4 linked regions of the Alligator mississippiensis genome follow. The protein of the gene in region 1 purifies or fractionates together with the protein of each later gene. This does not show direct contact. Links are inferred from orthologs where the notes say so. Each region holds a gene or a part of one and is shown in the gene's direction. Other genes may lie near its edges. The genes, in order: GOSR1, STX5, STX12 and BET1L.

What was found.
Region 2: the proteins of GOSR1 (region 1) and STX5 purify together in Homo sapiens (affinity purification with western blotting; 3 studies listed by BioGRID, with this or other methods). This does not show direct contact. The link is inferred for Alligator mississippiensis from reciprocal best matches to the Homo sapiens genes GOSR1 and STX5.
Region 3: the proteins of GOSR1 (region 1) and STX12 purify together in Homo sapiens (affinity purification with mass spectrometry; 3 studies listed by BioGRID and IntAct, counting the BioPlex papers as one, with this or other methods). This does not show direct contact. The link is inferred for Alligator mississippiensis from reciprocal best matches to the Homo sapiens genes GOSR1 and STX12.
Region 4: the proteins of GOSR1 (region 1) and BET1L purify together in Homo sapiens (affinity purification with western blotting; 3 studies listed by BioGRID and IntAct, with this or other methods). This does not show direct contact. The link is inferred for Alligator mississippiensis from reciprocal best matches to the Homo sapiens genes GOSR1 and BET1L.

Annotation. Positions count from the first base shown.
Region 1 is NC_081837.1:1,807,751-1,815,201, forward strand, and holds the start of GOSR1 (Golgi SNAP receptor complex member 1), read left to right. Parts: upstream 1-4,441; 5' UTR 4,442-4,708; coding exon 4,709-4,790; intron 4,791-4,986; coding exon 4,987-5,107; intron 5,108-7,197; coding exon 7,198-7,285; intron 7,286-7,451. Other genes in the region: CPD (carboxypeptidase D), read left to right, coding at 247-473. UniProt on the Homo sapiens protein: Involved in transport from the ER to the Golgi apparatus as well as in intra-Golgi transport. It belongs to a super-family of proteins called t-SNAREs or soluble NSF (N-ethylmaleimide-sensitive factor) attachment protein receptor.
Region 2 is NC_081838.1:3,271,952-3,278,833, forward strand, and holds the start of STX5 (syntaxin-5), read left to right. Parts: upstream 1-3,878; 5' UTR 3,879-3,983; intron 3,984-4,014; exon of another isoform or gene 4,015-4,123; intron 4,124-4,140; exon of another isoform or gene 4,141-4,164; intron 4,165-4,292; 5' UTR 4,293-4,305; coding exon 4,306-4,491; intron 4,492-4,597; coding exon 4,598-4,668; intron 4,669-4,827; coding exon 4,828-4,883; intron 4,884-5,047; coding exon 5,048-5,118; intron 5,119-5,230; coding exon 5,231-5,347; intron 5,348-5,730; coding exon 5,731-5,787; intron 5,788-5,893; coding exon 5,894-5,960; intron 5,961-6,103; coding exon 6,104-6,207; intron 6,208-6,296; coding exon 6,297-6,418; intron 6,419-6,636; coding exon 6,637-6,796; 3' UTR 6,797-6,882. Other genes in the region: WDR74 (WD repeat-containing protein 74), read left to right, coding at 108-214, 314-435, 850-913, 1,204-1,347, 1,525-1,626, 1,808-1,908, 2,026-2,081, 2,200-2,342 and 2 more. UniProt on the Homo sapiens protein: Mediates endoplasmic reticulum to Golgi transport.
Region 3 is NC_081829.1:16,711,606-16,719,131, forward strand, and holds the start of STX12 (syntaxin-12), read left to right. Parts: upstream 1-4,524; 5' UTR 4,525-4,582; coding exon 4,583-4,685; intron 4,686-6,621; exon of another isoform or gene 6,622-7,526. UniProt on the Homo sapiens protein: SNARE promoting fusion of transport vesicles with target membranes. Together with SNARE STX6, promotes movement of vesicles from endosomes to the cell membrane, and may therefore function in the endocytic recycling pathway.
Region 4 is NC_081825.1:179,400,871-179,408,518, reverse strand, and holds the start of BET1L (BET1-like protein), read left to right. Parts: upstream 1-4,638; 5' UTR 4,639-4,653; coding exon 4,654-4,801; intron 4,802-5,505; coding exon 5,506-5,597; intron 5,598-6,423; coding exon 6,424-6,480; intron 6,481-7,648. UniProt on the Homo sapiens protein: Vesicle SNARE required for targeting and fusion of retrograde transport vesicles with the Golgi complex. Required for the integrity of the Golgi complex.

The DNA of each region.
Region 1 (7,451 bases):
CCCTTGTCTTGAGAGGTGCCTGGTAAACCGGTTCTTAGATACACAAATCCTGAATCTAAAGCTACTGCATAGCTGGATCTTTGCTCAGGGAGGACCTCGGGAACAGCTGGGTGAGGAAAGCAGCTACAGTTCTCTGCTCTTGGGCAACAGCTTGCGCTGTATGTGATTGGAGTGGCCTGGAAGCCTTCAGTGGGGAGGGACGTGTGCTGCATAGCGCTGATGTGGGTGTCTTCTGTTTTTTGGCAGGTGCCACCATGTCGGCTCTGGTCCTCACAGCCTGCATCATATGGTGCGTCTGTTCCATCAAGTCCAACAGGCACAAGGACGGCTTCCACCGCCTACGGCAGCACCACGATGACTACGAGGATGAGATTCGCATGATGTCTACTGGCTCAAAGAAATCCCTCCTGAGCCACGAATTCCAGGATGAAACAGACACTGAGGAGGAAACACTGTACTCTAGCAAACACTGATACCGGCCGAGAGGGAAGGAGACTCGCTATGGACAGACCTGGCAGTGGGGGCAACTCTTGTCATTCAGAGACCTGAGCTGTTAGCTGGCAGAACGTGTAATCTCCAGAGACTTGTGGGGCTGTTTGCAACCTCCTGTGTGCCTCTGTTCCCTTCCTACTCATGCACACGTCAGTGGGTGCCAGGCCCTGTCCTGCCTGTGACACTGCTGGGTTTTAGGTTCAGGTTTGGCGTTCCATGTAACAAAAGCACTTGAGAAGTAATTTAACGGGGTGTGGTGGCATCAGGACTTCTGAACAGCTCCCTTGCCTGGTGGGGAGATGCGCTGGTGCCTGGCGGGTTCTGTAGTTGCAAAGCTTCAAAGCTGTTTTTCTACTTATCTTGGTTTTTCACTCTGTGTACTGTATCTTGGGAAGCCTGGTGCAGACTTGGATCTCAGCGGAGCTGCTGGTGAGGGATGTGTGGCTGCGGCCTGGATTTGGCTTTGGCTGCTTCACCCTTTCCCACTGGCCTGCTCTGCTTTCCCTTGGGCATGGAACGCCGTGGGGGGGGGTAGGAGAGAGCCCAGCTGCAAACTACTATGAGATCACACCTGTGATGGAAACCGAGGGCGATGAGCTTGGGTCCGGACATGAGCTCTGTGTGAAGGGGGGAGAAAACGTAGTGGAAGCTAATGCTGGAGCTGCAGGGAGGTAGCTGTGCAGCTCTGCCATTCTTAGTCAATCCCACCTCTCCTCCCCACACTCCAGTCTTTCATTTGAGTCCCGTCATGCAGCTAGCCTGTTACTTTCCACCAGCCTTCACAGCCCTGTTACTAATGTGCTGGTCACCTGCTGCGGAAGTAACTCCAAGCAGGTGGGCATGCTAGGCTGCTGTGAATCCGAGTCAGCTTTATTCCAGCTGGCCACTGCGAGGCATACCCTTGGCCAGGTCCCCCCGCCCGGGAGACAGAACTCATGTCCTGCTGCAGTGGAGATCTTGGCATGACTCGCCCTCAGGCTCCAGCGCCTGCAATGTGTAGGCCTCTTTCCTGTGCCTGTCCAACGCAGAACACCCAGCGCAGGCATCTCTGCTTCTACCCTGAGCCCTGATGTTTCTAGGCATACAGCCAGTGTGAGGGGCAGCACACAAGGAGGTTTTCCTAACTACTCGCTGCGCTGTGGAGGGATGGGGGGGTTGAAGAGGGGCCAAACATGGGATAGTGACTTGTGTGGGGCAAACCAGCTTTGTTCTTGACAGCACCTCACATGTGGTTTCAACAGGAGCTACTCTCTGCAAGCAAGCAATGCTTCTGCTTCTTCGTGTGGCTGGGTCTGTTCCTTGTCATGGTTTAGACGGTGTGCCTAGACCAGCTGGCCCCCTCCCCAGTGCTTGGTGTCTGAAGTCTTTGCACCTCCTTTGAGCATCCCTGCTCTCCGGGCAGGGTGTTGCTGCTCATCTCTGTCATGCTTGCAGTAACTGGGTCGGGCTCTCGCATGACACGAGATGCTGCTGCCAAGAGGGAAGAAAAGGAGCACGAACATTGCAAGAGCCAGGGAGTGGCTTCTAAGGTGGAGGCTAGGTCCTCTAACCTCTGCCATACTGCCTTCCTGCCCTGGCTGTCCCTGCTGCTTTGCTGCCCTTGTGCTCGTGCCCTGCAGGGCCCTGCCACATGAAGAGCTGCCGGCTGGTGTTGAGAACCTGACTTCTGCCAAAGGGATAGAGTAGGGGTCGTAAACCAGTGCCCACTTCTTCCTGCCTGGGCCCACAATGCATCCACATGCATGATGTAGAGAGCAGCAGCTTCTGCTCCTCCCGTCCCAGTGGGTACATAGGGCAGAGCTGGAGCAAAGGCAGCCTGCATGCAGGGACCTGGCCGTTGCTTTTGGAGCAGGGGGGAGAGCAGTGGTGTGTCCTGCGGGAGCCGTACCCCACTGATGGTATCCCAGCTCGTCTCCTGGCCCTGGGTCTTGGCAGCATGATGCCTCCATTTCACAGGGCTCCCATGTAGGCTTCACTAGAGACCCTCCCCTGGGAAGAACAGAGCCCCCGGTGCTGGGGACTGATGCACAGCTCCTAGCCACGGGCCTGGCTGAGTAGGAGTCCTGGGAGCTGCGTTCTTCTGGGGGAAGAGAGCAGCTTCCTCTTAACACACAAGGGCTCCTGCTTGACCCTGCAGGGACGCTCCCCAACGGGAGGATTTCTGGTCCCAGGCCTTGTCCGTGCTGGAACGTGCCTCCTGCATCGTTTTCCCTCCGCGTGAAACCAGCGCTTTGCAGATGAAGAGATCGGGCGACGCTTTGAACGCACCTTCCCGCTTGCAGCTGGTGTGCAAGGACCCGGGAGCTGCGGGTCGGTCTCTTCCCGCCGCCCTACGGCTCTGCAGGGTTGAAAGAGCTGCTTTCATTGCCTCTTCTCCTGCTTGCTACAACCGGGCGCCGGCTCCGGCGTCCTCGCCGCGCCGAGGGTGGGTCTCGGGCCTGTGCCCCGGGCTGCGCTGTCAGCGTTCCCGGGCCCGCAGCAGGCCGGTGCCCCGCCTGAACCCCGGGCTCTCCGCTTCGTCCTTAAACGAGAACAGCTTGGGCCCTCGCAGCAAAGCTGGTTTCCAACGCGCGCCTCCAGCAGGCCCGGGACGAGGCTGGAGCTTCCTAATGGTCCCCCCACGTCCCACCAGCAATAAGCCTCGTTAGGCGTCGACGAGCCCTTCGAGGAGCTCTGCACCACAGGCTCGAGGCCGCCTGGGCCGGTTTCTCCGCGGCCTTCCTCAGCCCTCCTTCGCCTTTGCTCGTCGCGTGGCTGGTGCTCGGCCTGGCGCCGAGCGAGCGTGCCTTGGAGCGTGGACCTCGCGGCGGGGTTTACTGTCCGGCTGGCTGTAGCGTGGCGGGCGGGCGGCCTTTTTGGGCTTGTGTTTTTTCACGTGTATGCTGAGGTCTAATAATGCACATCAAACTATTTGGACGTCTGTCTGGTGTCTCTGCGCGCGGGGCTGGGGTGGGGTCGCCAGGCAGGACACCCCGGGATGGGGATGGGGATGGCTCCCTGCTCTGCAGCAAGGCAGGAGGCTGAGGGTGGCGAGGCAAGGCGGTGCCGCGCGGGGGCGCTGCGGCGGGCGGACCGCGCATCCCGGCAGCCCCCGCGCCGCGGGAAGGGAGCCGCTCTAGCGCCGCCCGCCGCTCGCCGGCCCCGGCTGACGTCGGACAACAAAGATGGCGGCGGGGGGCGGCAGCAACTACTGGGAAGGTGAGGGCGGGGGGGCTGGGGGTATGAGGGGAGGGTTGGGGGCTCTGAGGTGCGAGGGGGGGCTTGGGGCCTACGGGGCGCTGAGTGCTCCGCTGTGAGGGGAGGCCGGGGGGCGCCCTGGGGTGTGAGGGGAGGCCTAGGGGGCGACCCCGTGCCCGCCCCACGCCCCAGCGGCCCCGTGAAAACGCACGGTAGACGTCTGAATTTCTCTCCGCGGGGAAGCTGGCGTGGGAACGGGGGGTGCGTTGAGCAGAGCGGTGGTGTAAGCGTGGCGCTGGAGCCGTGACAGGCCGCAAATTGTGCAAGAGGCGAGGGTGTCGCAGGCGAAAGCTCGCCCGACTCTCGCCCGCCCGCCCGCCCGCCCGCCGGCATGCAGGAGTTCCCCCGAGACGTGTGGCTCCGAGGGGTTGTCCGTAGGAGGATCGGTTCGCTCGGGGGAAGATCTTATACACACGTTAGGTGTGTTCGGGTCGCTATAAAAATAAAAAGCCGGTCAAATTTTGTCTTATTCACCTGGATCTTGTCTGGTAAGAGTGTTGCGTGGCTCAAGAAGCCTCGGCTGCTGCTTACATGTGAGGAGAGACGAGACCCCGTACGCTGTGAGGGTTGGTATGGGTCGAGTGACTTTCAGGAGGGAAACTTTAAAAAATGCCAAAGGGATTAAAGAGTGTGAGACTCTGATTTAAATCAGACCTGGTTTTTTGGAAACCTTCCCTTGAAGAAGTTTGTAAGAAATACGTACTCGGTTAAGTCTTGGTAGGTTGTAGTTTCCCCTCGGCGCCTTGGTTTTGCGGCGCTCGCAAGCACACGAAACGCCAGCTGTGGTGGAGAGGGCCGAGCGTCGTTGCTTCGTGGTGGGGAAGCCCTTTCAGTCGTGAGACCATCACGGGAACGTTGCTCTGTGTTCCTGGGTGCTCGTACCATCGTCACTGCCGTGTCAGAAATCGGACGTGCTTCTAGCACGCAGATCCTAAAGCTGGAAACGCGGCCATCTCCAGTACTTCGTCCAGAAAGTCGTATGCGATTAGGAGAGACGGTTCCCATCCTGCTGGACCTCTGGGCTGCTGATCTGCTCAGCGGTGATCGAGTGTGCTGGACTTGTGCGTACATCGAGAGATTTTTGTTTCCTTTGTAATTGATCTCGACCTGATTCTTCTTTTGAATTATGCCGTCTTCTACTCTAGTTTCCTCCTCTTTAGGCTACGCACCTAAACCTTGCCAAAGCTAAACCCAAGTGTGTTGGGCCAGGCAGTGACCTGTTTGTCCATTTATTGCTTCTTACCATTGTTTTTCCAGATCTCAGGAAACAGGCCAGGCAGCTAGAGAATGAGCTCGACCTGAAGCTGGTCTCCTTCAGCAAACTATGCACGAGCTATAGCCACAGCAGTGCCCGAGAGGGAAGACGCGACAGGTATAGGTACTACCAGACTTCTTACTGTTTATTTGCTAAAGAAGGCTGCTTCCACTGCTCTTGGCTGATCCGGGGCTTGGTTTAATCTCAGACTTCCTTTGTGGTTTCGTGCTCAGTTTCCCAAACTGCTCGGTAGAATAGTTCTTGCTTTGCACTACCATCCGGGTGTGATGTTGAATGGGCATGTTGTGTGGGGCTGGGGGGCAGTGCGTGGTCATGTTGGAGCATCTCTGGTGCTGTCATTAGGTAGAACAGCAATTAAGCTTCTATTTGTGGTGATGTCGGCAGCATGTGGATGGGTATGAGACCTAGCCTGCTTGGTGCAGCTTGCATTGCGCAGTCCATCGCAAGGTGCATATGCACCAGTTAATACATTGCAACTCTTTATGGCCTTCAGTCTTAAGACCTGCAAGCGCTTGCCAGGCACTTCACAACCCTCCACGTGGGCAGGGTCACTGCACGCTCCCCATTTCAGACACGAGGAAATCGTGGCCCAAAGCTGCTAGGGCTCTCCAAGGATGCTCAGAGAGTGAGTGGGACAGCAGGGAATAGAACTGGAGAGGTTCCTCCAACCCCCTGCTCTGACTGCAGCAGCTGGAGCTGTTTTGAGTTTTCCTCCAGGATTAACACTGAGAACCAAATTGTTTTTAAAAAAGGAAAAGCTTTTAACCTGCTGATGGCAGGTTAAAAGAGATTACATTTACAAGTCCTCCCCACCTTGTGGGCCAGGTAATTTTCTGTCTTTGGTTCCAAAATGTTAACCTTACCAATGATGCAGCCTTCCCCTTGTCAGTCAGTGCGTGTTCACTGTGAGCCTCTTGCAGTGGGGTTGTTCTGGAACTCACCCCAGGCCTGGAGTTAGAGAGATCCTCACCTGACGGCACCTTCTTTCTGAAATACCAGCATCTCGTGTCCGCCACTGATGCTTAGTGTGAACATCCTGCTGTCACCCTGTCCCCCGTGCTTCTCTGGTAGCCTTGTGCCCATGAGTGGCTTGTCACAGGTTGAGACTGTGAGCTGTCTGGGGCAGGCAGTTTATGACATATGCATATATGTAGCACCAAATACAGTTGGACTCTGATCCCTGGATGACATTTGTCACTGCTTCTGAAATATAAATATTAGAGCTCAGACACGGAAGAACAGGCGTGAGCCATGCAGGACTGCCAAGGCTTTGTTAATGTTGGTCCCCTTTCCCCCGCAGAGAAGAGAAGCACCAGTACTGTTGATTTCATCTAGTCTGTTTCAGTTCCCTTTCCCAGTGCCTGGTATTTGTTTTAGCAGATTGAGATTCCACCCCTGGAAACGCACCCTGCTCATATCTTACTGGAGCAGTTCTTTCGCTCTGCTCCAGACAGTACTCCAGAGTACCTTGCACATTACACTGATCTCTGCCTCCTTGGGACAATGCCAGGAGACAGCATGAGAACCAGTTTTCCTTCCTCCTCTTATATCAATAACTGGAGTGAAGAGTATTGCTAAAAAGATGGATGCTGTTACTCTTCTGTATCTTGGTGTTGCCTGTTCACTTCTGTCCTCTCGCTTTGTGTCGTTTGCGTTGTGGTCTTAACTTTTTGACAAGGAGAGGGGAGGTGGGACTATGTAGAGAAATCCCTGTCACGTAGCTCGGTTTTTCTTGTGCAGCATGTTAACTTTGTGTAAGGTCTGTCAGCAGGGGGAACCTAACATTTCTATTACTAGTGTATCTTTACCTAATTATTGTAACACACTTCCTTGCAAACCTGGAATTGAGCAAAAAAAAAATGTGGAGGGGGAAACCATTAAGTGTGAAGACAGAATGATTTCTGACCTGATCTACAGTACGTTTCTGTGCCAGGCATTAGCTTCCAGAAGGGTGTAGGCTTCTTTGGGGGGTTTCTGTTCCAAGGTCCTGTATACTCTTGACTGCAGTAATGGACTAGTGACACAGTTCATATGAGAAAAAATATATCATCTTTTTCTAAATGTAATTTCTCATTTGAAGAAGCCTAGTTAGAAAATATAATCGCCCTTGTACCTATGCCCAGTATTGGCACTTTGAGTGTTCACAAAAAGATGGGCCTTCCAGTAATTGCTGCTGTTTTCTTTCCCCTTAGTTCTGACACAACTCCTCTCTTAAACGGATCAAGCCAAGACAGAATGTTTGAAACCATGGCTGTGGAGATCGAGCAGCTCCTGGGAAGGGTAATGGAGAGACTTTTTTTCTTTTTTGAATACCTAACAGGGATTTGAAGGCCTTGATGTTAATAGATGTAACAGTCATATGTTCCTGTGTAGGATGTAGAAAGTGCATTTGATGAAATGAGATTGCAGTGCACACCCACTGAACAAAAACCGTTTCATTAACACT
Region 2 (6,882 bases), on another chromosome or scaffold:
TTCCCTTCTACTTGTGACACCCCTTTTGCTCCCCCCCGACTGGTTCCTCCCAAGCTGTGCCCCCCCATCTGAACCCCGTCCTTCTTTTTCATCTCCTGCCCCCCCAGGCGTGAACCTGCAGAAGAAACAGGCCACGAACTACACGGCGTCGGGGGCGCTGCGGCGGGATGAGGGCGTCTGCGCCATGTGCTGGGGGGACCCCCTCGAGTCGGAGGTGAGGGGCCGGCTGGAGCCGGCCGGTCAGGCCCCGGGGGGTGGGGAGGGGGGTCTGCAGGAGCTTTGCGTGACGGTGCTTCCCCCTCCCCCGGCCCAGATCCTGGTGGGCTGTCTGGACCGGTCGGTGAAGCTGTTCAGCACCGAGAAGGGGAAGTTCACGGAGTCGCGGCTGTGCCCTGGCGGGGAGGGGCCCTTCCGTGGCCTGGCTGTGCAGGACGGGTACGGTGTCCGAGCCTCCCCCTTCCTTCTGCTGGCCCGGTGGGGGGCTGTGGTTTAATCCCCCAAGGCCTGGCGTCTGTCCAGCCCCGTCCTCCCCCCTCCTTGGATCCGAGGGGCAGTAGTTTGCTGCACGGCTTCCTCCGTGCCTTGCGTCCCAGGCACCCGTCTCCTCTCCCTGCCAGAGCCCAGGCAGGGGTCCGTCTGCTCCCTTCCCCATGGGGCAGCCTGGGCCCTTGAAAGGGGTTAGATGTTTCCGCCCTCCCTGGGGTTCCCTGGGCACCGTTCTCCCCCTGCCGGTTTTGTCCCTCGCTCCTGGGGCCTCCTGGCGTTTGCAGCTGCTCTTAGCGAGATTCTCTGTGTCTGTGTGTACGTCTGTCTGTGTCCGTGTCTGCCTCCATCTCCTGGCCCCGGCAGCTCCCTCATCACCTGCGTGGAGTCCGGGCTTCTCAAAGTCTGGCACGAGGACTCTTCTGAGGCTGTGAGTCTTTGGCAGGAAGCAGGCCGGGCTGGGGGAGGGGTCCCATGGGAAACTGGGGGGGTGCCTTGTCCCATTCCCCCCGCCCAGTTTCTGAGTGTCCAGGGCTGGTTCCTGGCTGCTTTGGCAGGGAGGGGCAGAGCCTGACCGGTGCCCCTGGGAGGGGATGTGAGCTGGGGGTGGGGACACACCACATCACACCCCGTCTCCAGTGCCCGTCAAGGCTGGGGGGGATGTAGGGTGGCCCCCTGGGTAACATCTCTCCTGTGCTTGTCCTCCCCCCACCTTGCCAGGCAGAGCTGCAGGTGGGGCCCGGCGTGTGCCGTATGCGGCAGAACCCGGCACGGCCGCAGTGCGTGGGCACGGGCGGGAAGGAGAACGCTCTCAAGGTCTGGGACCTGCAGCAGCCCCAGGAGCCCATCTTCCGTGCCAAGAACGTGAGTGACAGCCCTGGCCTCACTGTCCTGTCCTGTTCTCCCCCCCACCCCACTGGGCCTGGGCATCCTCAGCCCCCCACCCCTGCCCCTTCCTCATGGCTCCTGTCCGGCTCTGTGGCATCACCCACGTGTACTCCCCTCCCCCCCCCAGGCTCACCCCTCCTTTCCCCCCGGAAGGTGCGGCACGACTGGTTGAACCTGAGGGTGCCCGTCTGGGACCGCGACCTCCAGTTCCTGCCTGGCTCTGAGAAGATCATCACCTGCACTGGGCACCACCAGGTGGGAGCAGGGTGGTGGGAGGGAAATCGGGGTTGTGGAAGGAGGGGGGGTTGTAGGGACAGGTTTGGGGGCAGGGTGTTACTTTTAATAACAGGAACGCTGTGGTTGGTCCATCCCCCACCTCCTGCCTGGGCAGCTGGCCATGTGGGGAGGGCACCCTGACCCCTACTCTCCCTCCTAGGTGCGTGTCTATGACCCCAGCTCCCCACAGCGGCGCCCTGTGCTGGAGGTGACATATGGAGAGCACCCGCTCACTGCCCTCTCCCTTGCCCCCGGGGCCAAGTGAGTGCCTGGGCCCCCAGACACCTGAGTTCTCCCCTGCTCCGGGAGAGGGGTGGGGGCTGGGGGTGAGAGCAGGGGGGTTAGGCGGCCCCTTGCTCACGCCTCATCTCCCTGCAGCTCGGTGGTGGTGGGCAGTGCCCGCGGGGACGTGGCCGTCATTGATCTGCGACAAGGTGAGCCCTGGTGGGGCTGCGGGTGCTGTCAGGGCTGTGGGGGTGTCTCCCAGGCTTTGCTCCCTGGGGGTCTCAGGCCTGCTCACCGGCCCCTTGCCTACCTCCCCCCTTCCGCCAGGGCGGCTACTCAAGTGCCTGAAGGGCTTCGCGGGGGCTGTGCGCGGGGTCCAGTGCCACCCGACCCGGCCCCTTGTCGCCTCCTGTGGCCTTGACCGCTTCTTACGCCTGCACGGCCTGGACGACAAACGCCTGCAGCACAAGGTGAGCTGGGACCCCCCCAGCACCCTCCCGAAGCACCCTAGCTGGCATCTGTCCTATGGCCCCCCAGCGCTGTTTGCTCCTTCCTCACTTGGTGCCCCCTTGGCCGCAGGTTTACTTGAAGTCTCAGCTGAATTGTCTGCTGCTGACCAGCCGAGAGGCTTGGGAGGTGAGTGGAGGAGGGCGGGGGCGGAGGGGGGGGTCCCAGGGCCAGGACGGCAGGGATGGGGAGCAGGTAGGGGGCATCTGAGGTGTGGGGGGGCAGGGGACCCTTACAGCTTCTGGGATGGAGACTATCAGTCCCCGCAAGGACAAAGACCCTGACCTTGATGTCTGTACCCCCCTTTCCTTGCTCCCCCAGGACGAAGACCCCGACCCAGCCAAGGCGGAAGAGGTCAAGGAGGAAGAGGATGAGCTCTGGGCCGCCATGGAGACTGTGCGCACCCACCCTGCCCCCAAGCGGGCTGCGGACCCAGGCGCGGGGGCTGTGAAGAAGCAGAAGAGAGCCCGGGCGGGGCCCTGAGGGGGGGCCGCCCCTGTGGGGGATGACGGACTGGGCTGGGGCAGGTGCCCCGTGCGGGGGGGTGGGGTGGGGTCTGCCCCGTGTATTGGCTGCTGTGCAGCAGAGCGAGGTAAAGGTGCTGAACCTCTGCCCTGTGTCCTGGGGCTGTTTGGGGGGCGGGGCCGGGCTTCCCCTGGGCCACCCCCGTGACATCACAAAGCCCCGGGGGCGGGGCCAGCCCTAGCGGGGGCTCCGGGCACCTAGGACCTATGGGCTGCCCTCAGTCCCGCCCGCAGCGCCCCCCCGCGGCGGAGGCCAGGACCCCCTCAGCCGCAGGTGGGCGGAGCCCCCGGGGCCACGTGGGGGCGGGGATCCCGGTGGGGGGCGGGGCTCGGGAGGGTCCTGGAGTCACCCGCGGGGGGCGGTGCTCGGCTGCCCGGAGGGGGCGGGGCGCTGGGTGACGTCACAGAGGCCGCACGTGGGGAGACCCCAGGTGCTGACCCCGCCCCGCCCCGCCGTTGCAGACCCCCAGGGGCAGCCGCGGCCCAAGCAGCTGCGCCTCGTGACGCCGGGGCCCGGGCCGGTGTCGGAGCGCGAGGCCTCGGACAACGTGCGCATCCGCGTCATCTGGCGCCGCATGTCCCTGTTCGGCAGCCGGCGCGACTCGCTCAGGAGCACGCAGAGCGAGGAGGAGGAGGGCGAGAGCCCCGCGCCGCGCGCCCCGAGCCCGAGCCCGCACCAATAAACCTGCCTGGGCCTGGGCCTCCGCCTGCGCCGTGTGTGGCGGCGGCGGGCCCGGGGGCGGGGCTGCGCTGGGCTGCGCGCGCCCCTCGAGCACGGCCCGGGGGGGCTGGTTGAGCAGAGCGCGGGGGCTGCAGAGCGAAGGGGCGGGGCCGTGGGAACCCCGTGTAGCGGGCGGGGCGCTGCGGGGCAGGACGGCGCTGTGCTGCGCGCGTCGCCCTGGGGCCTCGGGGCAGGGCCTCCCCGGCAGCAGGGGGCGCTGGCGGCTCCTTTAAGAGCGCGCGGGGGGCGGGGCCACGCCGACGTGCGCTGCGCGTGACGTCGGGGGAGGGGACGTGGCAGTGACGTCGCTCCCGGCCGGCGGGTCCCGGCAGCCGCGTCCCGATCGTCGCCGCGTCCCGGTGAGACCCGGAAGCGGGGCGGGCACCGACGCTGGGGGGGGGGCGGCGGCTTCCGGGACCGGCGGGTGCTCCTCACCCCGCCAAGCGGTGCCCCCATAAAGGCCCCCCCGGAAGGGGTCTCCCAGCAGCAGACGCGCCCCGTATGTGTCCCCGCGAAATGGCTCCCCCCGCTGCCCCACCAGTGCGTTCCCCCCCGTGCCTGCGGGCACCTCCCCCTCGCGGCCTGGGGCTGCTGCGCGGGCACGGCGGGGCCTGGGCGGGGGGCGACGTGTGTCCAGCACGAACGAACCCCCCCCCCCTCCCCGCCAGGACATGAGCCTCGATGAACACGCGCCGACGCCACGGCTCTAGGACCGCGGCACCGGGAGTCTACCTGGGACCCTCGCAGACGCAGGTGCTGCCCTCCCCCGCCGCCCCGGCCCCGCTCCCGCCCCCCCCGGACGCCATGTCGTGCCGCGACCGGACCCAGGAGTTCCTCTCCGCCTGCAAATCCCTGCAGAGCCGGCAGGTGGGTCCCGCGCGGGGCCGGGCCGGGCCGGGCCGGGTCAGGTCAGGGGGAGACCTGCCCTTTGCTGGGGCTCGGGCTCAGGTGCCGCCTCCCTCCCTCTCTCCAGAACGGGCTGCAGCTCAGCAAGCCGGTGTCCAGCGCCGTGCGCCAGCGCAGCGAGTTCACCCTCATCGCCAAGTGAGTGGGGCCCGGCTCCCCCGGGGAGGAGGGCCGGGGGGCTGGCATGGGGGGGGGGGGTCGTGCCCATACTAGTCCAGCGGGGCGGGGGAGGCAGCCTTTTCTGCCCCCCGCCACCACCTCTGATCTCGCTGTGCCGTGCTGTCTCCCGGAGCCCAGGCGGATCGGCAAGGATCTCAGCAACACCTTCGCCAAGCTGGAGAAGCTGACCATCCGTGAGTGGGGTCCGGCGGGGGGGCCAGGCTGTCTGCGGTGTGTTGGGGGGGGGCTGTCCGAGGTGCTGCCAGGGTTTGATGTTGTTTTGCGGCTGGGAGCGGGGGAAGGTCTTCTGCTCGGGCCCCCGAAGCCCCCCGTGGCCTGACTGCCCCTCGCCCCTCAGTGGCCAAGCGGAAGTCCCTGTTCGATGACAAGGCGGTGGAGATCGAGGAGCTGACGTACATCATCAAGCAGGTGAGCGGGGAGGGGGGACCGCCCTGGGACCGAAAGCCCCTGCCCTGGGGTTGGGGGGCATGTGGGGCTTCCCTCCCAGCAGATGTGACGTGCGTGACTGCCCCTTCCCCAGGACATCAACAGCCTGAACAAGCAGATCGCGCAGCTGCAGGAGTTCGTGCGGGCCAAGGGCGGGCTGAGCGGGCGGCATGTCCAGACCCACTCCAACACCGTGGTGGTGTCCCTGCAGGTGAGGGGACACTGGGGGTGGTTTGGGTGGTTCTGGCTGGGAGCTGACAAGGGGCAGCTGACAAGTCTGGAACGGGCTCCCAAGGAAGGTGGTGCTCTCCCCTACCCTGGGGGTCTTCAAGAGGAGGTTAGACGAGTATCTAGCTGGGGTCATCTAGACCCAGCACTCTTTCCTGCCTATGCAGGGGGTCGGACTCGATGATCTATTGAGGTCTCTTCCGACCCTAACATCTATGAATCTAGGGGCATCTTGGGTGAGGCACAGGCCCAGCGGGCGGCAGTTTGGGGGTGGAGGGTGGTTGCAGCAGGTGCCGTTAGGACTGGTGCGGGGGGGGGGGCGCAGCGCAGTATAGGCCCAGCCAACTTTTGGTCTCTGCCCTGCAGTCTAAGCTGGCTTCAATGTCCAATGACTTCAAGTCGGTGCTGGAGGTGAGAACAGAGGTGAGTGTGCAGTATGCCTGTCCGCTACCCCCAAGAACCAGAGGGGAGGGCTCCCTCTGCTCCTCCTCTCCCACACCTGTTCTAATTCCCCCTTTCTCCCCCTCAGAATCTGAAGCAGCAGAGGAGCCGGCGAGAGCAATTCTCCCGCGCGCCTGTCTCGACCAGCAACTTGGGTGAGCTGGGGGGGGCCTGCCCAGGGAAGCCTGTGGGTGGCCTGTTCTCACCGGGGCACCCTGGAGTGCTGGGGGTGGGGCACATTTTCTGGGTTCTGCCCCCCATGCATCCCCTGACCCTGCCCACATCAACCACTGCCCAGGCGGCTCCACGGTGCTGCAGGACGAATCTCGTCGGGCCTCGGGGGACGTGGCCATCGACATGGACAGCCGCACCAGCCAGCAGCTACAGCTCATCGACGAGCAGGTACCTGGGGGGAGGGGCTCTGGCGACTGTGTCGTGGGGGGCATCTCCGGGGTGAGGGGGTCCAGGGGCTGACTCTGCTCCGCTGGCAGGACTCGTACATCCAGAGCCGGGCGGACACCATGCAGAACATTGAGTCCACCATCGTGGAGCTGGGCTCCATCTTCCAGCAGCTGGCACACATGGTGAAGGAGCAGGAGGAGACTATCCAGAGGTAAATGCTCCCTGGCACGTGGCTGCCCACCCTAATGCTGCACCTCCCTGGGTCCCCCACTAATCATGGAGTCCATGTGTGCTAGAGAGATCAGGTGTTCTGGGGTCTCCCACATGCTGCCCTGGGAGGCGAGGCGGTGGGTGAATGCCTGCCCCCCCTCCAGGAGGCAAGGGGAAGCCTGGCTCTGGGGAGCCTTAGCTGAGTCTCCCTTTCACCAGGATCGACGCTAACGTGGAGGACGCGCAGCTGAACGTGGAGGCGGCCCACTCCGAGATCCTCAAGTACTTCCAGTCTGTCACCTCCAACCGCTGGCTCATGGTCAAGATCTTCCTCATCCTCATCATCTTCTTCATCATCTTCGTGGTCTTCCTGGCCTGAGACACCCTCCCCACTCCCCTGCCTCCTTGCCCTGTCTGCCCAGCCCCACCCAGGGAGCAGCACCTGGACTTTCTCATGCCCGCCGG
Region 3 (7,526 bases), on another chromosome or scaffold:
TCAGATGAATAGCATGGGGACAGTCTGCAAGCCTAGTTCAAGCCCCGCACACCAGGATTGGGCCCTGGGACTCTGTACTGCCCTCTCCATGCCCTGAATGCTGGGATTGGGCCCTGGGGGGTAGCACCACCCCCTCATGCCCCCACTTGCCAGGAATGGGCCCTGGGGTGCAGCACCATCCCCTCCTGCCCCTGTGCCAGAATTGGACCACCAGCACTCCCATGTGCCAGGATTAGGCCTTGGGGCCTAGCACCACTTGTGTCTGGACCTGCACACTGGGATTGGATGCCCAATCCAGCATGAAGAGCCTGGGGCTCCCCTTGGGACTGGAAATTTGGCAGCAGGATAGCAGTGCCACCACTCTCCATTGCCAAATTTCTGGTCCTGTGAGGAGCTCCATGAGGCAGATGACATGACAGCAGGGGCTGGGGGTTGAGCACCCCTGCATTAATAGATTGTTAGGGATTCAAAGAGGATGGAACAGAATTGCACTTAGGAACCTAAATTCACTTAGACACCAAAAAAGTGGAATAGAATCTGGCCTGATACTTATAACTAGAGAAAGATAAGTAAACTGAATTCCAGGGTAAAGAAAATCATTGGGCCTTTGTACATGCAATAAAATTGTCCTTTAAAGCAGCAAAATGCCCATTTGTGCCATTAATGGTGTTGCTATTTACATGTTTGGCAGCGTATTCTGTTTTAATGGCATTCCTATTTACATGTTCGGTGGCATATTCCGCTTTACATGACTTAGTTACTTAGCAAGGTAAAATACCTCCGAGGTGTTTTAGTTTGCTACCTAACAAAGTGCAACGGTGCATGGGGCACTGGAAACCACCGTGATCGGGGAAGCTCAGACTTGGTGGACTTCCAACACCCCATGCACTATCCCCGCCTCCTTCTGCTGCCACCAGCATACCCAACCACCCTCCTGCCTCCTTTCCGCTCTGCTCCGGGGCAAGCCATCCATTCCTGGGTGCTCCCAAGAGGCAAAGACGGTGCACGGGGTGCTGGAGCTTACCTGTCTCCCCCACAGTTGGGCGGGGGGGTGAGCTGCCGGTGGGCTGAGTGATCCCTGAGTTGTGGGGGACCCAGGTGCTTCCCTCTGCGGTGGTGGCATCCACCAGGCAGCACCCACCCACTGCCACCCAGCCCAGGTGGTCCCAGGGGGCACTGCTGCCATGGAGGGAAGCACCAGTCCCTGAACAGCGCAGGCCGGCAGGCTCCATTAAATAATCAGTTTATTTTTATGTTGTTATGTACACTCTTACCATTTTATGTCTTAAATTACTGAGAAAGTTAATTGTACAGGTTTCCCTTGCTTTATGCTGTACATGCATTTCTGGAAAATGGCACATAACTAGAATTCGCATAAAAGGAACCCACTTTACAATGTAGCAAATAGGGATACGTTCCAAGACCTTGACTGTACTGACCCCCAGACCCATTTCTACCATTTTTACAAGAAAATTTTGGTACTCCTCAACAGCAGACAGTACACAAGCACAGGGCACTATCATAATGGGGATGGCAACTACAGAAACACGTGTCACAGACAATGAGTGAGGATCACGGATGCACCTAGACTTTATTTTGGTGCACATCACTCCCACAGTGCAATGCACAAAGTAGTCGACTGCGAGCTTCCATCACACTGATCGCATGAGAGTGAATTTACTTCACATATAACAAATATTTGGTATAAAAAGGGTTATCGCATAAGTGCGAATTTGCACATACAGAACCTGCATAACACGAGAGAAACCTGTATTCATTAATTAATAGAATTTGATTTTTTCCTACTAAGATTTTCATAGTTCAATGATATAGGTGAGTTTGGGGCTCCACCAACATCTTTACTGTGTAAACACACCAAAATTGGTAAGCAGGTAGCCCTGGCTACATTTGCAACCCACACCAGTTTTGATATACTGAACTTGCACAAATCAAAGAAGTTTAAATGCTTTCCCAAGATTAGACTAATACATCAGGGTTTGCAGTTTGAAGTCAAGAAGGCTTATGCTCCAAAGTCTGAAATCACTAAGTGCTGGTGCCTAAATACACACTTGGCTTATGCATATAAAAAATTTCACATTTAGTCTAGAGAGGAGAAGACTGAGAGGGGATTTAATAGCAGCCTTCACCTACCTGAAGTGAGGTTCAACAGAGGGTGGAGCTGTACTGTTCTCAGGGATGACAGATGACAGAACAAGGAGCAATGGTCTCAAGTTGCAGCAGCGGAAGTTTAGGTTAGATATTAGGAAGAATTTTCTCACTAGGAGGGTAGTAAAACACTGGAGCAGGTTACCCAGAGAGGTGGTGCAACCTCCATCCTTTGAGGTTTTCAAGACTCATCTAGACAAAGCCATGGCTGGAATGATCTAGTTACGGACAGTCCTGCTTTGAGCATGGGGTTGGACTAGATGTGACCTCCTGAGGTCCCTTCCAATGCTAACTTTCTTTGATTCTAAGTCTTGCGTCTAGCTCTCTGTTCATGTCATGTAAATCTGAACAGTTTTTCATGACTATCATCAGGAATCTGTGTTTTCTATTTACTGTGGAAAAAGAAGGATTTTCTCCTTTAAAGGAGAAAAACATGGGAAACAGTGGGTTTCCCCTTGCAAGGGGCTGCTTGGGGTGAGGGGAGCAGGAGAAGGGCAAACACAGGAAGGGGATGCCACATGCAAGTGCATGCAGACACATGGACATGGCAGCCAGGCATCGTGGTAGCGATCAGCTCCCACAGCTAAGTCAATGGGGGGGGGCATAGGCAAGGTGTGAGGGGGCAGGGACACATAGGTGATGTGCCAGCCGGGTGGGGCATGTGCCCCCTAAGATTTGTGTACCCACAGCAGGCACAGGACTACAACCTGGTTGAACTGGCATGGGCAGGAGTTGCCTCCATGGCCCAGCGGGTGGGACCCAGCGTGGGAGTGTGGAACAGGACAGCAAGACTCATTGCTGCTGCTGCTGCCGCCACAAACCCTCCACCAGCCATGCTGCCAGCAGTGTGAGGAGTAATGTGTGGTTGGGACTGCATTGCCCTGACATCCTCCTGCCACCAGCCACTCCTGTGCTGGGCCACTGCTCTATCCAGGAGGGGACATGGGGAGAGGGGCAGCACAGGCAACCTGAGGGGAGTGGTAGTGGCAGCTGGACCATGGCAGTGGGGTAGAGCGATGGCCCAGCGCATGAGCAGGTGGCGGCAGGAGGAGGTGAGGGCAGCACTCCCACTCCCCACCCCACCTCTGATCTGTTACTCCTTGCACTGCTGGCCGTGCGGCAGTCCTGGTGGCAGCAGCAATAAGCCTCACTGTCCTGCTCTGCCCTTACGTGCTGGCAGCTCCTGCCTGTGCCAGTCTGGCCAGGCTGCAGCCCCAAGCCCCGCTGTGGGCACACAAATCTAGGAGGGGACATGCTGCCCCCCTTACCCCTCTAACAAGTTGCCTATGACATTGCCTATGGTCAGGCATCCCACCCTGTCCTACACACACACACCCCCACCGGGGGGTAGCAAGTTGGGAGAGGCAGCAGTGGGGCTGGGGGGATTCAGGGGCTGTGGTTTGGGGGTGAGGAGCACTGATGGGGCCAGGAGGCTGTGGGCTGGGAGTGAGGGGCACCAGCATATCAGGGCTGCTCAGTGCCACAAAGCAGCGGCAGGGGAGAGAGGGGGGAAGGAACAGCTGCAGCTGGACCCACATCCCGGCGAGCGAAGGGGGCAGGGAGAGCTCTGATTTTCCATGATAAAAAAAAGAAAACCAGAAGCAAATGCTAAAGTGTATAGATATTTAAAAGTCATTGTATTATGATGATGAAGGTAAGCTTCCAAATTGCTTTAAAATTGCAAATACATCAATAAAACATTGCGTTCAGCTGATACCTGTGTATACATAGCGGCCTTTCATTTTAATCACGAAAAAACAGTGATGCGTGGGTTGTAATCGGATAATTTCGGGCGTTTAAACAGAGAAAACCGGGACCCTGATTCACCACATTAGAAACTGTGTGATCGAGTGACTAGTTTTCGATTGAAGTCAGTCAAGGCTATTCACGTGCCCGGAGCTGCAGCCGCCGACGTGTTTGCAGAATCGGGGCCTGCACCCGCCCCCTCCTCGCTCGGCCTGTAACAGGCTTGTGCGATTCCGCGGAGCCTTGTCCCAGCGACAGACACTGAGCTTGGCCTCCACAGCTACCATGCCATTTCAGATGAGTTTGAGGCTAGTGCAGATAGAAATGTATGATTTAAAGGAGCGAAAGCAGCGGTGGCAGTCGAGCTGACAGTCACGTAATCAGGACAGGCAATGCAGTGCAGTACTGACACCATCGCGATTGTGGACGCGGGGTCAGTGGCGGGAGATGAGGCCGAGGCGCCGCGCGGGGCCGGAGCGCAAGAGAACACGTGCGCGGCGCCGCGCGTCCCTCGTTGCCATGGTCCCCGCCGCTTCCGGCGCGTAGGCGTTGGCGGCGGGGGCGGGGCCCAGCCGGGTTGGCTTCCCTCACGGCGCATGCGCGTGGCACCGCGGCGCTGTCCCGGCTCCGGCCCGATTGATCCCGCGGCCGCAGCTCGTCCGGCGCCGCCATGTCGGGCCCGCGCGCCCCCCGCCCCGCGCCGGGGCCGCCCCGCGACTTCGGCGGCATCATCCAGACCTGCAGCGCCAACGTGCAGCGCATCGCGCAATGCAGTGAGTGCCCCCCCCCCCGGGCTTCCTGGCCTCAGGGTCCGCCCCACCCCTCAGGCCCGGGCCGCCCCGCGCAGGTGGGGCCAGGGAGGAGCCGGCCCCGGGTCAGATCGGGCAGTTGTGCGAGGGGGGCGCGGTCCTCCTCCTTGGGTGTCTCCGGTGTTCGTCATTACGGTGGTTTCCTGGTTTTGCAGCGTGTCCGTGTCCCCAGCGCTCTTGTTCCCTTTCATTAGCCTGTCCGTTAGGGGGGTGCTCCACTGCCATCCGCACGCCACCATCATGTTTCGTGGATGCCTCTGTTGCCTGCCCCCTTTGTGTGCTGACAGGGACCCTGGTGCACGCCCACCTGGCCCAGCCTCTTATTGAGGTTCCCCGCACCTTTTTATTTAGGCACTCTCTGTCTGTGGCCCCACCCAGTCCCAGGACCTCCTGGTCAACCTCCTCCTGCCCAAGCTGGCCACGTGCTTGACCAGGAAGGAGGCTGTGGCTGGGAGGGCCCGTCTCCTTTCCCTCATCCGTTCCCCAGAGTACCCCTGAGCAGCGTCCACTGGCTCCTTGAGGGCCAGTGGGCACTGTCCGGTGCGCTGTGCTCGGTGTCCCCACTGGACACACTTAATATGAATCTCTCACCTGAACTCCTGTCTCTGTTTTTTTCATTCTTTGTTCCACCTGTTCCATTCTGTTGTCACCTTTCTTGTGGCCTCCCCACCTCAGGGAGGCCGATGAGCAACCTGGTGGGCTAGGCCCATGTTTTCTTTTAGAGACGAACAAGTAGTTCTGCTGTTAGAGGGGCCACTGTTTCTGCTTGGGCCAGGTCCACAGCTCCCGGTGCACAACGAATAGGCCTGCCCGTGCAGTGGCAGGAAATTGTCAGTGCCCCACTGTGGCCACTTAGGGTGTTCTTGGGGGTTTTGTGTGTAGTTGTTTATGCAGTTTTTAAGCACAGTTTACACAGACACTTTTGTAGGATAGGTTAAATAAGGACGATCATACCTTGATCGGGGGGTTGACCAGACCTCCTGAGAGTTCTTCCAGCCCTACTTCTATGGTTCTTTTTTCCCCTTGTTTTCATGTTATCTTCTTTGCCTTTCCTGACCTTTTTGACTTGGAGCTGCCTTTCTTTCGTGTCATGCCATCTGTCTCTACTTGCATCTCTCCTTTGAGTGTGCTTTCCCTATGCGGCTTTCAGTACTACCCCAGTGCACAAAGCAATGCAGCTAGACTTCATATTATTTTGAGACCAGTGATATTTCTAAACTGTGTTATCTGTCCCATTTGGCTTGTAAGCTCTGTGGGTGCTCTTTTTAAACAGCTCTTTGATCTCTCCTGTAGCAAGTAGCAGCTGCCTTCTTTGACTGTAGGAACAGGCAGTCCATTATGGAAGAAAATGCTTAATGGTGAACCTAATTTGTAACGTCACAAGCAGAAATTCCAGATTCTCTCTCTGGAATGGGAAAGGGGAGCAGCTGCCTGAATGGGTAGCTAATAGACAGGATGCCAGATGTTGAACACATAAGATCATGGTGATTTTGTGGGGAATAATGTACACCATAACACAAAGACTCTCATTCTCAAACCCCTATGGTTGCTCATTTATGAAGTAAAGTGTAAAAAAAAAAAAAAAAAATTGCATCTATTCATGAGCTCACCAAATCTCTAAAATCTGGCATTTATTGGATTCTAGCAGGGCAGAATCCAGAGATGTGGGTTTTTCAGAAAATTTTGAAATGGAAAATTTTCCAATGCCTAAATAGATCATGGTCTGATTTTAGCATGTTTATTTGACTTGTATTTAGTAAACAGAACTAAAAAAGTACCCCCATGTTAATTTTATGTCCCAATAGCCACAAGTATTTGAACTGAAATATTTGATTAGGAAAACAAATAAATTCAGCACACTTAATGTGGTTTAAATGTTATATTCAAACAAATTCAAAGCTTTATGTGGAAAGAGATTATTTTTATTGGAATACTTGTAAACATGTAAAGACAATACACAATAGCATGGATTTCCCTTACATCATTTTTTTTCTTAAATTTAAACAAACAAAGGCACTGAAAACTGTTGACGCACTAATTTTAGCACACCCAAAGAACTGTGCAGGATATGCCGTAGTTGTCCATTCATCTACTTCAGCAGAGTTTAATTCTCTTCCACTGAGGTAATTGTGACTCCTCCAGTTTCATTCTCACTATCTGTAGAATCACTTGCACTACTTACACTACTTATTGAGGCAAATCTGTTTCAGAACTACTTGAACCACATTTCTTTTTCTAAAGGGTGGTTTTACCAATGAGTCTATGGGCAAGGATGACTTCTCACGCTACGTCTTCTTCACTAATTGTGCTTCTGACTGATTCTGCAGAAGCAGAAGATTTTGAGAAATAGAAACAAGCTTAGCAGTGCATTCGTTTGTTAGTGTATTCCTCTTTTTTTGTCTTGATTGAGCAAAAGCCTTCCAGTTCCGTTCACAAAAAGCTGCTGTTGGTGGAATGGTTAGGATCCTTAGAGCAATGGTGGACAGCAGTCTAGTGTTACAGTATCCCTTCCACCATGTGATAGGAGATGTATTCTCTGCTGCCTGCCAAGTGATGTTTTTGCTCCAAAGTTTTTCTTTTGCACGGTACTTAGCCATGATGACAGACATTGCCATTTCGTTGATGTTGGGGGCATTCTTTGCTACTTCCATAATTGTATCGAGAGCAGTAGATAATTCATTTTTAGATAAATGCTGTCCTCTGTGTTGAGGATCCAAAAGGTTTGCTGCCAGATGAACTGGATGAGAGCAAAACTCAGATCTCTTAGTAAACATTTGTTTTACTACTACTTACTCTTTTGTATAG
Region 4 (7,648 bases), on another chromosome or scaffold:
AACCCCTAAGAAAACAGACCTATTTGTCACCTTTAGTCCCCTAAGAAAACAGGAGGAGGCTTGGTTTCCTGCTCCTCCTTTTGACCAGCATCCTACTGAGATTCACTCATGTGCTTAGCTTTACATCTGGGAGCAATCCCATTAAGAGGAACTGAAAATACTCCTGGTGGCAAAGCTCCTCTGCGGAAGCCTTTGTGGGATCACAGCATTAGTGAATAATTATAGAGATGTGGCTTTCTATTTTCCTGTGAAGCAAGTCCTTGCTGATCGCTTGAAAAAAGGGACAAAATGGAGACGATTTCAGGCAAGCAGGGACCCTGCAGAGAGAATCTACATGGAAGTGTGGCAGAGGCTGCAACAAACTGCTGGATTTTAAGGCCACCTCTGCTGGGATTTTAAGGGGCCAAGGGGACAGAGATGTCTGACTGCCATGAGCCATCCGAGGGAGAAAAGATGAGCGAGTTACCTTCTCTTTAGCTGCGCTGGCTCAGGTTTCCTGCTTCATTTCCTGGACACTGCTGCTGCCCCTAGCCCTCCCCAGCTCTCAGCCAGAGGAGGCAGGGAGGGGTGGCTGGAAGCTGGGTGGAGACCCAGGCAAAGGGAAGAGCTGCTTTACCTGGAGGCTTGGGGTTGTGGGACAGGGCAGAGATCACCCACCAGCCTGCCAACCATACAAGCAATCAGGAGCCTTGTCAGGGGTTGAGGCTGTTTCCCGCCCCGCACTATGAGCAAGAGGAATATAAAAAAAACATGAGCACTGTGCAAAATGCAAGGGGCGGATCCTGCTGCCTGCCAGGGGAGGGCTGGTCTCAGTGGTGGCAGATGACAGGACAAGGAGCAATGTGCTCAAGTTGCAGCAAGGGAAGTTCAGGTTTGATATTAGGAAAAGCTTTCTCCTGAGGAGGATAATAAAACACTGGAACAGGTCACCCAGAGAGGTGGCAGACTCTTCATCCTTGGAGGTTTTTAAAACTCAGCTGGACAAAGACTTGCTGGGATGATGTAGTTGGGGCTGGTCCTGGTCTGAGCAGGGGGCTGGACTAGATCAGCATTCCTCAACCCGTGGGTCACAAGAATATATGAAAGGGGCACAAACCAACTTGGAAAATGGATCAAGAAACTTTAAAAATGGATTCTTCCTTATAGGAAAAAAACATGGGAAACCAGGGTTTTTCCCTTGCAGGCTGGCAGAGCTCCAGCCTGCCAGGGGCTGCTTGGGGCCTCCACTGCCTCACACTCTGAGGGGCTAGGGCCTGGGGGCAGCGGGTCCGGAGTGAATCCAGACTGGCCATCAATGTTTACAAATGGGTCCTGGTACAAAAAAAAGTTGAGAACCACTGAACTAAATGACCTCTTGAGGTCCTTTCCAACCCTCATTTTTTAGGAATCCCTACAATAGTGGTTCTCAACCTTGTTTCAGACTCAAGGCACCCTCATGAGACTCAAGGCAACCCTTGGAAAATGCCAGCTTTTCATTATCACTCGTGTTTCTGCTACAGAAAAAAAGAATCAAGCCGTTCTGCTGCTGCAAAGAACGCAGCAAGGCCACAGGCCTGAGATAGGGTCCTAGGATAGCCAGAAGTTTGGGTGTTTACACCCATGATTTTCAACCAAGATGCCATGGCACCCAGGGATGCCTTGAGGTCCTTTCAGGGGTGCCACACAATGTTGTCCCTGTTGAGTGTGCTAATGGGATTCACAAAATAAACCCAGAGATGTCAGGAAAGGAATCCATGGTGTTAAAAGCATTCAGACCTGGAATGGCCTGCATAAGTTCTTTGCAACAGAATTGCTCTACTTTTTTTCTGTAGTCTAAACATGAGTGAAAAATAAGAGCTGGCCTTTCCTGATGGGCTGCCTCCAGCCTGTAAGAACATAAGAATTGCCATTGACTGTATCAGACTATAGGTCCATCTTGGCCGGGGATCCTTTATCACACAGAGGCTCTGGCCAGGGAGACCATCCACATCTCCAGGCAGAGTTTCACTGGGAGGTGTTCACTGGCTCCTTGGACTTGACTGGGGACCAGTGGGCACTGTCCCGTGTGCTCTGCATGATGTCTACCCTTGGTGCATTTGTTTTGAACCTATGACCTTTACTCTGTCCCTGCTTCTTTTGTTTTCTCAAGTAATCAGTTGACACATGTGAACCTAAGGCCCATGTCCCCAATAGGTGTTAAATAGGCCTGTATCACACAGAGACTCTGGCTGGGCAGCCCCTGGGGACTGTGGGGCCACTTTCCTGTCCCTGGTCTGTTCATGTCTCTGGGCAGAGTTTCACTGGGCAGTGTCCACTGCCTCCTTGGACTTGAGGGCCAGTGGGCACTGTCCCGCATACTCTGCTCAGCCTGTCCCCCTTGGTGCACTCGTTTTGAACCTGTGACCTTCACTCCTGTCCTTGTTTTGTATTTTTTTTTGTCCCATGAATTCAGCTGATGCATACCCAATAGCTCCCTCTATTATTAAGGGGAGGTAATTGTTGATCTGTGGGCATAAGGGCCATGTTCCCAACATGTGTCAAATAGGCCTGTCACACAGAGGCTCTGGCTGGGGGCCCCCCGGGGACTGCAGGGCCATTTTCCTGTGCCTGGTCCATTCATGTCTCCAGACAAAGTTTCACTTGGCAGTGTCCACTAGCTCCCTGGACTTATTCAGTGGGCACTGTCCAGTGTACTCTGCTCAGTGTCCCCCTCCTTGGTGTACTCATTTTGAACCTCTGACCTCACTCCCAGTCCTGTTTTGTCTTTAGTTGTCCCCTGAAATCAACTGACATATACCCAATTGCCCCCTCTAATAACAGGGGGCATAGCCTGCAGAACGAGGTGGGCCACCTGGGCCACAGCCTGACCAACTTGTAGCACATCAATTTATATAACCCACAAATGCGCAATTGCCATTCCGGTTAAAACTGTATAGCTATTTTTTTAACTGCATAGCTAGTTAAGTTAACGTGCTAAATGTTGGTCAGGCCATGGCCTGGGTGCCCCACCCTGTTCCGCGGCTTATGCGGGGAGAGTAACTATTGCTTTGTGGTAAAGTGCACGTTAACCCTATGTGTCAAATAGGCCTGTGTCACACAGCGGCAGAAAATGGATACTGAAAGGGAGAGTAAACAAGACAAGACCAGGGTTGGTTTTTATTCACTTTCTTCCATCACTTGCAACCTCTAGCATTTAAGGTCCAGGAACTTTGAATTCAGAGGCTGGACCCTTAACTCCTGTGCTCAATAGATACTGATGCCCTTTTTCCCCAAGAATTTGTCCAGTCCAATAATTCTAATTCCAGTCCCTATGGAGACTGCCTTGAGACTATGGAGGGGTGCCTCAAACCTAAAAAGGTTGAGAAGCACTAGTCTATCCCAACCGCGCACAGATGGCCCGATAAAAGAATCGCCCACAAGAATTCCTGCCTCTCACAGCAGGTGTGATGGCTCTTGCTGCTATGTATTCCTCTTTGAAGTCGCTGGGTCTACCCTGTGCATCGTATTGTGTGGCACGGTTAAAAAGGATCTCGGGTGCCATGGCCCCGCCTGAGAGTCACTGCTATAGAGGGGAGAAAAAAGGAAGTCAAACTGCGGCTGGACAAGCGTGCCCTTTGTGTCTGGCAGTGCTGGAGGGATGCTGCAGCCCTGATGTCCCAGGAAACCTGCCAGAGAGGCGAGGGGCTTTTATGAGTGGTGTCTTAGGAAATGTGGGCTGGAAGGGACCTCAGGAGGTCATCTAGTCCAACCCCTGCTCAAAGCAGGACCATCCCCAACTACATCTTCCCAGCCAAGGCTTTGTCTAGCTGGGTCCTAAAAACGTCCAAGGATGGAGAGGCCACCACCTCTGGAAGACCTGTTTTTTTAAAGAAATGTTTCATGTTCCCAGTCAAATCAAGTCCAAATCCCGGAGTCAGCCCAGAACCATACTGGCCCTACAGCCCGCAAACATCCTCCACCTCACCAGAGGCTGCAGATGTTTCCAAAATCCTTTAGCAGGTGTCCTAGGTGCGGGCCCAAGCGGTTCAGATGCCGCCGACTTTCGCCCCGCCTCAGCCGTGTGGCCGCAGGAGCGAGCTAGAGAGCGGCTGCCGTTTGCATCAAGTGGGCTTGAAGCCCCGACGCCGGGGCGGGCACCAGAAGAGCAGGTTTGCCCGGGAGCGCTTGAGGAACCCTGCCTTCCTGGACGCAGATACACGGCGTTTCCTTGCCAGGCGACCTGCTCCTTTACTGTGCTCCCTTCCTAGCGTGAGCGGGGTTTATTTCCCCCTAACAGCTTAATCTGCCCTTGCTGCAACTGGAGACCCCGGCTGCTGCCGCTCGGAGGGAGGGAGGGAGGAAGCCGGCCGCAGGCCAGTGTCTCCGGCCCCTGTGCCCCGGGCTCTCTCCAGGCGGCGCGGGGGCGGGGCAAGGAGCGGCGGTGGCTCCGCCCGCAGCAGCCGGGGCGGGGCCGGCCACGGAGACGGGCCGCGGCCATGGCGGAGTGGGGGCGCGGTGAGCGGGGCCGCGGGGCGCTCAGCTCGGATCCCTGCCGGGGGCTCGGGCGTGGGTCGTGCGGTTGCATGCTGGGGGTGTCCCTGGGGCTGCCCGTGACTGGGGCGGTGGGGGGGCGCACATGCGGCTGTTTGGTTGGGGGAGGTTTTGCTTTGCCAGCCCCGGCCCGGGGATGGGGGGATGCCTCCTCTTCCTCCGACCCCGTGTGCTGTGTGCCTGCCCTCCCACCGCGCTCACCTGCCTGGCCGGGGCTTGCTTGGGCTGCTGGCAGGTCAGAGGCTGGCGCTAGGTGCCTTTCATGCCTGCCAGTGCTGCCCAGGTGCTAGGAGTACGTCTCTGTTTTTGTATCGCTTGGAGGGGCAGGTATTAGGCGGGAGATGTTTTCAACCTGTCCCTTTGATAACTGGCTCCGTAAGAGCTGCAGGCCCCCTGCCACCCCACCCGTCCTGCAGTGACCCCCATGTCTCGGGGCATACATCTGCAGTGGGTCGGTAGCTGCTGATGCGGGTACCTTGTTACGTCCCCTCCGGCACACTAGCTGACCTGTCTTGTACACACTGTAGATGGTCGTGTGTCAAAGAAGAACAAATATATGTGTGTTTGTATGTGGATACACAGATACACGCACCTGTGTGTGTATGTGTGTGTGTGTATATATATATATATATATATAAAATGTACATGTGTGTCTGCATATCTAGGTATAGGTGTGCATGTGTGTGTATACACACATACACAGATAATATATCTATAAGTAATTGAATCTGAGCGCTCTCAAGCTTTGCACCTGTGTAGCTAAAGCAGGATCAGGGTTTGCATGTATGTTGGGTGTCTCGGATACATATCATACATCTGGGGTAACATTTCAGGGGTAGGAAAAACCGGTTCTTAAAATGGTACTCGGAGTCACCTAACTAACAACAAAGTGGCGGTGGCGCTGCGAACAGAAATCCCAGTTCTCTTACCAGCTGTGATGAGTTTACATGCTGATGTTTGTGTCATAACTGATAAGACTCCTCCTCTCTCTTTCAGGCCAGGGCCAGAACGGCATGGATGACATGTTGGATGTCGAGAACAAACATATGGCAGACAATCTTGCCACCAAAGTCACCAGGCTGAAATCGGTTAGTTACTAACTCCATGTGGTCCATTTTCCTTGCTGTGTTCACTGTGAGAAAGGAGCTGGTTTACACAGGGGTGATTTCTTTATTCCATGGTTTGAGAAGATGCAGGATATGATACAGCCTGTGGTGGGTTGCATAGTTAACTTTTCTAATGATGTAGCTGGGAAATTTTACCAATTTTCTCATCACCAAAATTGTCTGGTCTTAGTGGCAGCTAGAGAAGAAATTTGATATAAAAAGTAAGCGGCAGGGAGGCCAAGGCAGGTAAACATGTCAGACAAGGCGTGCCTTCTGTGGAAGAAAGTAGTTATAAAACCAGGTTAAAAATATTAATAAAAAACACACTTTCAGTTTTCCTTCAGGAGGGAGTCATGATATTTATGGTGATGATAGTCGTGGTGTATCCATGGCTATTAAAGGAGTATTCACAGTAATCATTTGCTTCCACTAATGTCAAAAGCCTCAGTTAACATATGGCTGTAATGCACAGACAACATCATTATCAGAAAACCAGAATCTGTGTTCTGTTACTGCTTCATGATAGGCATGGTCATTTCATGTACAGAAGCTTCCAACTATAGACCTTTATTTCCAATGCTGCAAAGCGCAGGAATTTATATAATCTTAAAATGTAGGCAGAATCTCCCTCCTCCCCCGTCTTCTTTTTTTCATTGCATAGAACAGACATGGCAGTGTGTAATGTGTAGGAGGCAGTGGAAGTAATGGCCTGTTTGTGTGGTTGGGGTTTCACCAGCTTCAGATATATTAGGAGTTGATCTGTTAATTTGAAGATAGTAACACTTGCATCCTTCTGTGTTTTGATTAGCTGGCACTGGATATTGACAAAGATGCTGAAGATCAAAATCACTATCTAGATGGCATGGTAAGACACTGGTGAGATGTCTAACATGTGAATGGTTTTGTGCTGACTTCAAAGAGTTTGCTCTGTAGTTCAGAAGGAAAGGTGATCAAACTCTGGCAGTTGGGTTTAACAACCCAGCACATGTCAGGTAACATGAAAACATTGTTTGGGGTTTTAAGTACATAAGCCAACAGAAACTTAAAAGCTCCCAATATTATGTTGGGCAAATACAGCCAGCATTTAATAACAGTTGACACTGATAGGGAGTAGTATAGTTCAGTAATGCAGGTAGAAATTACTTACTTACTAGGATTACAAACTGGCTCCTATGAAGATAATATAAGCCTGCCTGCCTGCCTTTGTCACTCCTGTTTAGGAGTTTTGGAAGTGTTTATAAATCTCTTGGGGGTACTTCTACAGCCTCTGAAATGCCCTGGATGTATAGAATTGGAATCAGGGTTTGTAGTGTTAATAATATCAAGTACTCTGTTCCTTTTTCTTCTCATTTTTAATTACCACGGGTATTTAAAAAACGGTGATTTTTGAGACAAAATCTGGCATGTTTCGTAAACTCTTTATTGCTGATGGAGAATCCAGGGACTTGGGGAATGGCTTGTGCAGCCAATACATGCATTTGTGGCTGGAAAATCCCCTAGCTTCACACTTGACGTTAGCAAACACAAGCAAACTTTTTTGCCTCAAGATTTCTTCCATTGCTTAATATAATGATTTTCATTCATATGATACAATTTAATTTCAAAGCATTTTATGTACTTAAAGTAATAAGCAAGCTATTTGGCCACAAGACCAGGTCTGTAGCTTAAAATGTGCCCACCAAGAATTTCTAGACTAAGAATAACTTCATGATTCAATTTGGCATTGGAATCCCTTCCTTTGATATGTTTGAGTTTGGGATTGATGTGGTCAAGCTGTTTCTGTGAGTGATTGGGAAGTGGTTGTCTGCAGGTTGGAATCTGGGTAGCTAGGGCATGTAACCCCTATAGAAGATAACCACAATATTGAAAGCAAGGCAAGATAAACCTATTCAGGCTTCAGCAGAGCTGGCATGCAGGCAGTGATGTCACGGGCAGTGTGTGGAAGGTCTAATGTATACTTGTTTTCACTGGAAATGGAGGAGAGTGGAAGGTTAGGGTGAAGGAAGAGACCATGATTACAGCAGAAAAGTTAA